Arabidopsis thaliana: one gene and its partner. Each later gene encodes a partner of the first gene's protein in a complex. Each region holds a gene or a part of one and is shown in the gene's direction. Other genes may lie near its edges.

The links. Proteins that work in one complex are often made in the same cells at the same time.
Region 2: RPB5D (region 1) and NRPE3B share a complex: the UniProt entries of both Arabidopsis thaliana proteins name them as parts of the RNA polymerase IV and V complex.

Annotation. Positions count from the first base shown.
Region 1 is NC_003071.7:17,226,750-17,230,504, forward strand, and holds the start of RPB5D (RNA polymerase II fifth largest subunit, D), read left to right. Parts: upstream 1-2,010; 5' UTR 2,011-2,276; coding exon 2,277-2,516; intron 2,517-3,092; coding exon 3,093-3,269; intron 3,270-3,358; coding exon 3,359-3,472; coding exon of another isoform or gene 3,473-3,544; exon of another isoform or gene 3,545-3,549; coding exon of another isoform or gene 3,550-3,567; coding exon 3,568-3,693; 3' UTR 3,694-3,755. Other genes in the region: AT2G41330 (Glutaredoxin family protein), read left to right, coding at 318-1,526. UniProt on the Arabidopsis thaliana protein: DNA-dependent RNA polymerase catalyzes the transcription of DNA into RNA using the four ribonucleoside triphosphates as substrates.
Region 2 is NC_003071.7:6,710,801-6,714,555, forward strand, and holds the start of NRPE3B (DNA-directed RNA polymerase family protein), read left to right. Parts: upstream 1-2,094; 5' UTR 2,095-2,221; coding exon 2,222-2,670; intron 2,671-2,859; coding exon 2,860-3,097; coding exon of another isoform or gene 3,098-3,118; exon of another isoform or gene 3,119-3,313; coding exon 3,314-3,586; 3' UTR 3,587-3,755. Other genes in the region: FUT4 (fucosyltransferase 4), read right to left, coding at 82-244. UniProt on the Arabidopsis thaliana protein: DNA-dependent RNA polymerase catalyzes the transcription of DNA into RNA using the four ribonucleoside triphosphates as substrates.

The DNA of each region.
Region 1 (3,755 bases):
TTTCTTTGATTTCAGTTATAATTACTTTTCTGAAATTAAGCTCTAAAAATAAGGATCAAATGGATACTTACCTTAGTTATCAAATCAAAGCAAATTCGATATGGACGAATCAACATCACAATCGTCTTCTTTAGTGTTTTCACCATCTTCCACCTCTAACTTACTTAGACAGCTCCTTTCCACCTGTTTCTTCTCTCTCTGTCTTTCTTTTTTCTCTTTCTTCTTTTATATTCTCCGACAAAAGAAAAAGTACAAGATACCCAGAAAAAGAGTGTAGAAACTACATTTGTTCTTCTTCTCTGTTCTGCTTCGAAATTATGGGTTCCTCTGTTTCTAAAACCGCTTCCTCTGCTTCTGCTTCTTCTATAACATCGATTTTGAATTCACCTCCGGAGACGGAATTCAACATCCCTTCTTCATCGGTACCTAAAGCTTTCACATTTCCGATGCCGTCGATTCATCATCCACCTGCTAAAAAAGGCGACACACACCACTTTGTCTCTCTTACATCGACCACTTACGGTTCTCTTGTTCTCGACGACAGACAAACATTGCCTCACATCTCCGTTTCCGGGAAGAGTAACAAGAAGATGCCTGAAACAGAGGAGGCTCGCGACTCGTTCTCTCCTGACTCAGTGATCAACACATGGGAGCTCATGAACGACCTCGACGACGAATTCGATTCCGCGAATTCCGATACAAGTAAGAGTAATTCCGTCGTAAATTTGGATTCCTTTTCTAAACCCATCACGAATCGAGACGTGGTTATTAATGGGTCTGCGTATGGATCTTACGAAGATGAGGAAGATTGGAGATTATTGCCTTTTAAACCTAAGCAACCTCTGTGGAAACATATGTCTGAAGAATCATTTCTCTCTGATTTAGATCCTAACATTATCTCATCTTACAAAAGAGCACTGTCCTCCAAACAGCTAGGCAAGAACAGTAGCAATGGCCACTCAAATCATTCGGTTTTAGTCAGTTTACCAGAATATGTATCTTCTAGTCCATTGAGTTCTCAGACTTCGGAAAAAGACCAAGAGAAACCAAGATTGCTTGAAAAAGAAGATAACGAGAACAAGATAGTAGTATACTTCACTAGCCTCAGAGGAATTCGAAAGACGTATGAAGATTGTTGTTGCGTTAGAGCGATATTGAGAGGGTTTCAGGTTGCGGTAGAGGAGCGTGACATCTCAATGGACTCCAAATACAGGAAAGAGCTTCAGAATGCACTCGGCGAAGAGAAACCGGTTTGTTTGCCTCAGGTGTTTATAAGAGGCGTCCGCATTGGTGGAATTGAGGAGATCAAGATACTCAACGATGGAGGTGAACTGGCAGAGATGTTAAAAGATTTTCCTGCTTGCGAATCCATTGGAGCCTGCGATAGCTGCGGAGATGCAAGGTTTGTGCCGTGTACTAATTGTGGCGGTAGTACTAAAGTGTTTGAGGAACAAGAAGATGGGTTTAAGAGATGCAATGGATGCAATGAGAATGGATTGGTACGTTGTAACAAGTGTTGTCTTTAGTAATTGGATTCGTTTGAGTGATGTTGTTGTGAAAATGTGAAGAGAAGAAAAAGAATCTAAAGATATAACTTTTGACTTAAGATATGTTTGGTTGGTTGTGTTCTTTGAATGATTTGTTTGTTTTCATGCTGTATATTATAAGAAGTGGCCTAAAGCTCAAACCTAGAATGTCAAGCCTCAATTGTTTCTTCACGTTGATCTTTGTAATTTACATGTTATAAAATGATTTTTTTTTCCAAACAAATACAAACAGGATGAAAATATTTATGTAAACCTAGAACTATTTTATTTCTTTGAAAATAATAGCTAAACCTTTTTTTAATATGGATATGCAAACTGAAAAATTAGAGTTTGCTGTTTTGGCCTTTTGGTCTTGTACAAATTTGTTTTTGTTACATTTTACAGATGACCTGTTACGGCAGTAGCGGTAACGAAAATGTTACTAGGCATTCCACAGTAATTGTCTCTTAACGTCATCTACTATCTTATCTCTTCTAGCTATTTTAGTATGGCTTACCATTTTTCCAAAAACCAGTGTCACTAAAGTTACAGAACAATCGCCTTTGACTACATCACCTGCTTGATCATTGGCTACCATCCAAGTCTGTTTGTAAACTTCATCCGCTGTCACGGTAAAAACGTCACGGGTAAACTGATTATTGAAAACGACAACGGGTCTTATCATCTTCAAACCCCTCACATTACTCAAGCTTTGCTTCCTTCCCCGAGACCGAGAGAGAGAGAGAGACGATGGAGGGGAAAGGGAAAGAGATAGTGGTTGGACATTCCATTAGTAAATCAAGTGTAGAGTGTCACAAATATTACCTGGCACGTCGAACCACCATGGAGATGCTCCGAGACAGAGGATACGATGTCTCCGACGAAGATATTAACCTCTCCCTCCAGCAATTTCGAGCGCTCTATGGGGAACATCCTGACGTAGATCTACTTCGTATCTCAGCCAAACATCGCTTTGATTCTTCGAAAAAGGTAATTGGAATTCGATACGAATACGAATGTGATTTCGATTTCTGATGGTTTTCTTTCTCTGCATGTTGATTTTTCTGCCTAGCTTTTGAAATCTACTTAGTGTTTTCCATTGACTTGATTTAGTTGTATGTAATATGCAATTTGTCTGAAGAAAGCATTCTACTTTTAAAGACTTCCTCTGATTTCCAGCTTGGTTCCTAGTTAGGTTTGGTTTTATCTGATTCCTCTGTTTTTGAAACAGAGACGTTGTTTCTTCTGGCAAAAATCTAAATGGTTCGACTGGTTTAAATTTGGTTAGATAAGAATGGTTAGGTAATTGGGTTTGTTAGCACTAATCAGTTAGTTAATGTGTAATTACCATAGTAATACTTGTAAGGTTAAGAGTTCTAATAAACAATTTTCACATTATTCTCTGTTCTTGGCTTCTCCTATTCAGAGTTAATAATATAGTACTTGGCTTAGGCCGAACTGCAAAAGAACTCCTCAGCGAGGTTGTTTCCTTGAAATTTATTATCGTCGTTTGCTGTTGTCACTGAAGTCACAAGTACATAGCAATTTCTCTGATTTGAATTTCAGATCTCGGTAGTGTTTTGTGGAACTGGTATAGTTAAAGTCAATGCGATGCGCGTCATTGCAGCAGATGTGCTTAGCCGAGAAAATATAACCGGACTGATACTGGTTTTGCAAAGTCATATAACGAACCAAGCTCTTAAAGCCGTTGAACTTTTCTCCTTTAAGGTCGAGTTATTCGAGGTAATATATCTTTATCTTGAGTACCGTGTTAGGTTATGTGTTCCCACATTTGGCTCATAACATCTTGGTTGCGCTTGTTGTGTTGTTAGATTACCGATTTGTTGGTTAACGTAAGCAAACATGTCTTGAGGCCAAAACATCAGGTTCTGAACGATAAAGAGAAGGAATCACTTCTCAAGAAGTTCAGTATTGAGGAGAAACAAGTAAGCAAGTTTTTTGGTATTTGGATCATTACTAGTACTAGTAGCTCTGACTCTGAGCCAGCTTTTCTCTGAATTAGAATGTTTTTTTTGGTTAGCTTCCTCGGTTATCGAGCAAAGACCCGATTGTGCGATACTATGGACTAGAGACAGGGCAAGTCATGAAGGTCACATACAAAGACGAGCTCAGTGAGTCGCATGTTACATACCGATGCGTTTCTTAAACTCGTTTTGTTTATATTTTCAGCTCTTTCTTTGTGTAGCAATTTATCTGTAACATGTTTTG
Region 2 (3,755 bases), about 11 Mb from region 1:
ACAAAAAAAAAGGTCAAAAGGAGAATTCTTTGAGCTAACAATGAATGACAAAACATGGATGCTTATTTTTTTCTTTCTTACCGTTGATTGTAGCAGCAAAAAGTTTATTGTTGAAGTTGTTTGAGAATGAAAGTAACATAACAGACAAAATTAGTAAGGTACTAAAGACGATGGTTATCAGAATTTTCGTCTTCAATCCCAAACCCTTGATAACTTCGCCGGAGATCTGAAATATATGATACATGTTGACTTTTAGTTTGTGAAGATGATTCAAAAAGAGTTTACAACGCTTATATAACTTGATTACAACTTTTAATGTCAATCACTGATCAATAAGATAAAACTTTGAATATTCTAATGTGTCATTGTTAAGTTGTGACTATCAACGAACTCCAAACGTGACTCTATTTTGTTTAATAGAAGAAAAGTCTTTAAACTCCAAATTGTGATTTTGTATTATATAATATTCAGAATTATCGAAGAAACTTCCTATGGGAGAGCTCTTGTGAATTATTAACAATTTGGAATCCAAACAACTAGGATTTGTCAGGCACGTTGTGAAGACCATGACATTGATGTATTGAAATATGCAATAATTTGTAATTACATAAATATTGAGATCTGTTTGACATGCCCAATCAAAACATACAATCATGTCAATAATTAAGTGATCCCAAATTGTTTAAACGATTTACCTTAGTGATCAAAGTCCTAAACTCGTTTAAAAAACTAATGGTCAAAAGATTCCTAAAAAATTGCAAGTAGGCCACGAAACATAGAGAAAGTGATATGAACTTTAAGTTTCTAACAATACACCAATAAAATTATGGTCCAGATTTTGATCTATATGTAATAGGTTCATGAACTTAGTTTTAAAAGTCACAAACGGTATACGTAGATTATTGTTAACATGAACGACTAACAACGACATAACACGCGCAATTCATATGACTCTAGATGTTACCCTTGATATTCACATGCATGTAAAACTCTCAATATGCTATTTGAAAGTCTCCGGGGGTTGCCACGTCATCACATCGCTCCAAAGGCCCCATTTGTTTTTTCATTTTTTTTTCCTTTATTAAATGTTTTTCTCATCGACCAATCGTCCTCTGACTTTTTTTATTTTGACGAGGGAAATGTATTCAGATTCGAGCGGAACCGCGGTTGGCCCGGTAAACCCGATGACTCAGTCACTAATCCAGTTTGGCTCCAACACTACAATCCGCTAATTTTCAATCAGGTAAATTTTGAAAATCTCTAATAAATTCCGGTAATGGTATAACCCGCGATATGGTACTACTAGTTGAAACCGTCGTGCTTAAAAATGTTGATTAAAATTCAACTTTTTTTTTTTGGCTAAACTGCAAATATCATATATATGAAAAGGATGGTTTTACAAGGAAGTTAAACCCGGAATTGGTTTCTTGGCAAAATAAAAATAAAAAAGGAAAGCAATATTAGAATTTTGGACCAGACATGATCAGTGCACTTAAAGCCCCAAAACCCACTAAAATTCTATTTTTAAAAATAATTTATATTTTCTGTTGGATAAAATATATTATATGTAATCTTTTAGATTTAGGTCAAGATTTAATTGTGTCAATGAAAATAAGCGGAATAATTATGAAAATAAGCGGAATAATGATGAGTACAACTTGTACATTGTCCGAAACCATTCACATAATTACCATTAAAATTAATTATGTAAAAAAATTTTAATTGTAATTAGAAAGAATAATTTTGGAAAAACACTATATAAAGATTAAAACAACAAATTTACCATTATTCTTTATGAACCAATGCATTTTTAATCCTTTTTACTCTTTATATAATGTTTTTAATCCAAGTTACTGTTAAAAATATGGAATTTCGATTCTTTTTAATATTTGTATTTCCAAAATTATTATTATGTAATTCAAATTATAAAGATTAAAAAGTCTTAAAATAACATTGGGTCATTATTTGAATTGATGTAAACAGAAAATCCATTGTAGACATTTTGACCATTCCCAATAACTGTTATGAGAAGCCTGAAAATGCCCAGTAAACAAAAGAATAGGCCCATATAGGCCCAACTTAAACTACTATAGTTCTTCTTATACCTTTTTCCACTCTCACTCACTTTGCTCTCTCCAAATTTCTTCTTCTTCTCCGGCGAAGAAATCGAAAAGTCATTACCCTAAGAGTCCCAGAGTCGTCAGAAGGAACAGCTTTTGAAATGGACGGTGTCACCTACCAAAGATTCCCAACGGTGAAGATCCGTGAGCTTAAAGATGACTACGCCAAGTTCGAGCTTCGTGAAACCGACGTTTCAATGGCCAACGCTCTCCGTCGCGTAATGATCTCCGAAGTCCCCACCATGGCAATCCATCTCGTCAAAATCGAGGTTAATTCCTCTGTTCTCAACGACGAGTTCATTGCTCAACGACTTAGTCTCATCCCTCTCACTAGCGAGCGTGCTATGAGCATGCGGTTCTGTCAAGATTGTGAAGATTGTAATGGAGATGAACATTGCGAGTTCTGCTCTGTTGAGTTTCCCCTTAGTGCTAAGTGTGTTACTGACCAAACCCTAGATGTTACTAGTAGGGATCTCTACAGTGCTGATCCTACTGTTACTCCTGTTGATTTCACTAGTAACTCATCTACTTCTGATTCAAGCGAGCACAAGTAAGTCCCTTTTCATCATTGTAGTGATTATTTGTTCTTTATGAATTGATTGGAATTGCTAAGCTTAGATATTACACAATGCTAAACAAAATTTGACATCTTTAGATGCCCTTTGCATGAGTCTTCCTTTTGGTAGTTCTGTGGCTTTTTTTTCTGCAGTTTCTTAGACTGTTATTGTTTTGGTTTCAGGGGAATTATCATTGCGAAACTACGCAGGGGACAAGAGTTGAAGCTTAAAGCATTAGCTAGGAAAGGAATTGGGAAAGATCATGCGAAATGGTCTCCTGCAGCTACTGTTACGTATATGTATGAGCCTGACATTATTATCAATGAAGAGATGATGAACACTTTGACAGATGAGGAAAAAATTGACTTGATTGAGAGCAGTCCTACCAAAGTGTTTGGCATTGACCCAGTCACCGGACAGGTTAATTTCGATGTTCTGTAAGAATAACATCTATACAAGTTTATAGCTTTGAGACTTCAATATGATTGTACTACTTTATAGGCTACCATGCTTTGAAATATATGTATGTGATGTGGTGTATGAATTTTCTTTAAGTGTTTAGTGCGTTTAGCTCATTTCTTTTGCAGTCTATTGTTTGAATCATCACAACTGTAATTATAATACTTTGCTTCTTAGGTTGTGGTGGTTGATCCTGAAGCATACACTTACGATGAAGAAGTGATCAAGAAAGCTGAAGCAATGGGGAAACCGGGACTCATTGAGATCCATCCGAAACATGATAGTTTTGTATTCACTGTTGAGTCCACAGGTGCATTGAAGGCTTCTCAGCTGGTACTAAATGCCATTGATATCCTGAAGCAGAAGCTTGATGCAATCCGTCTCTCAGATAACACTGTAGAAGCCGATGATCAGTTTGGTGAACTCGGTGCCCATATGCGTGAAGGATGAAATCGTAGCTCTTTTTTTACCTGTTTGATCAGGGTTTAAGTTTCTTCTAGACCAGACTAATATATTAACCGTAGCGGCACTGCCTTGTTTGATAGCAACATGTAAAGTGGCAGTCTTGTCTTTGTTCCCGACCTCTGACTGATCCTTGTGTTCCTGAACCTTGTTATGT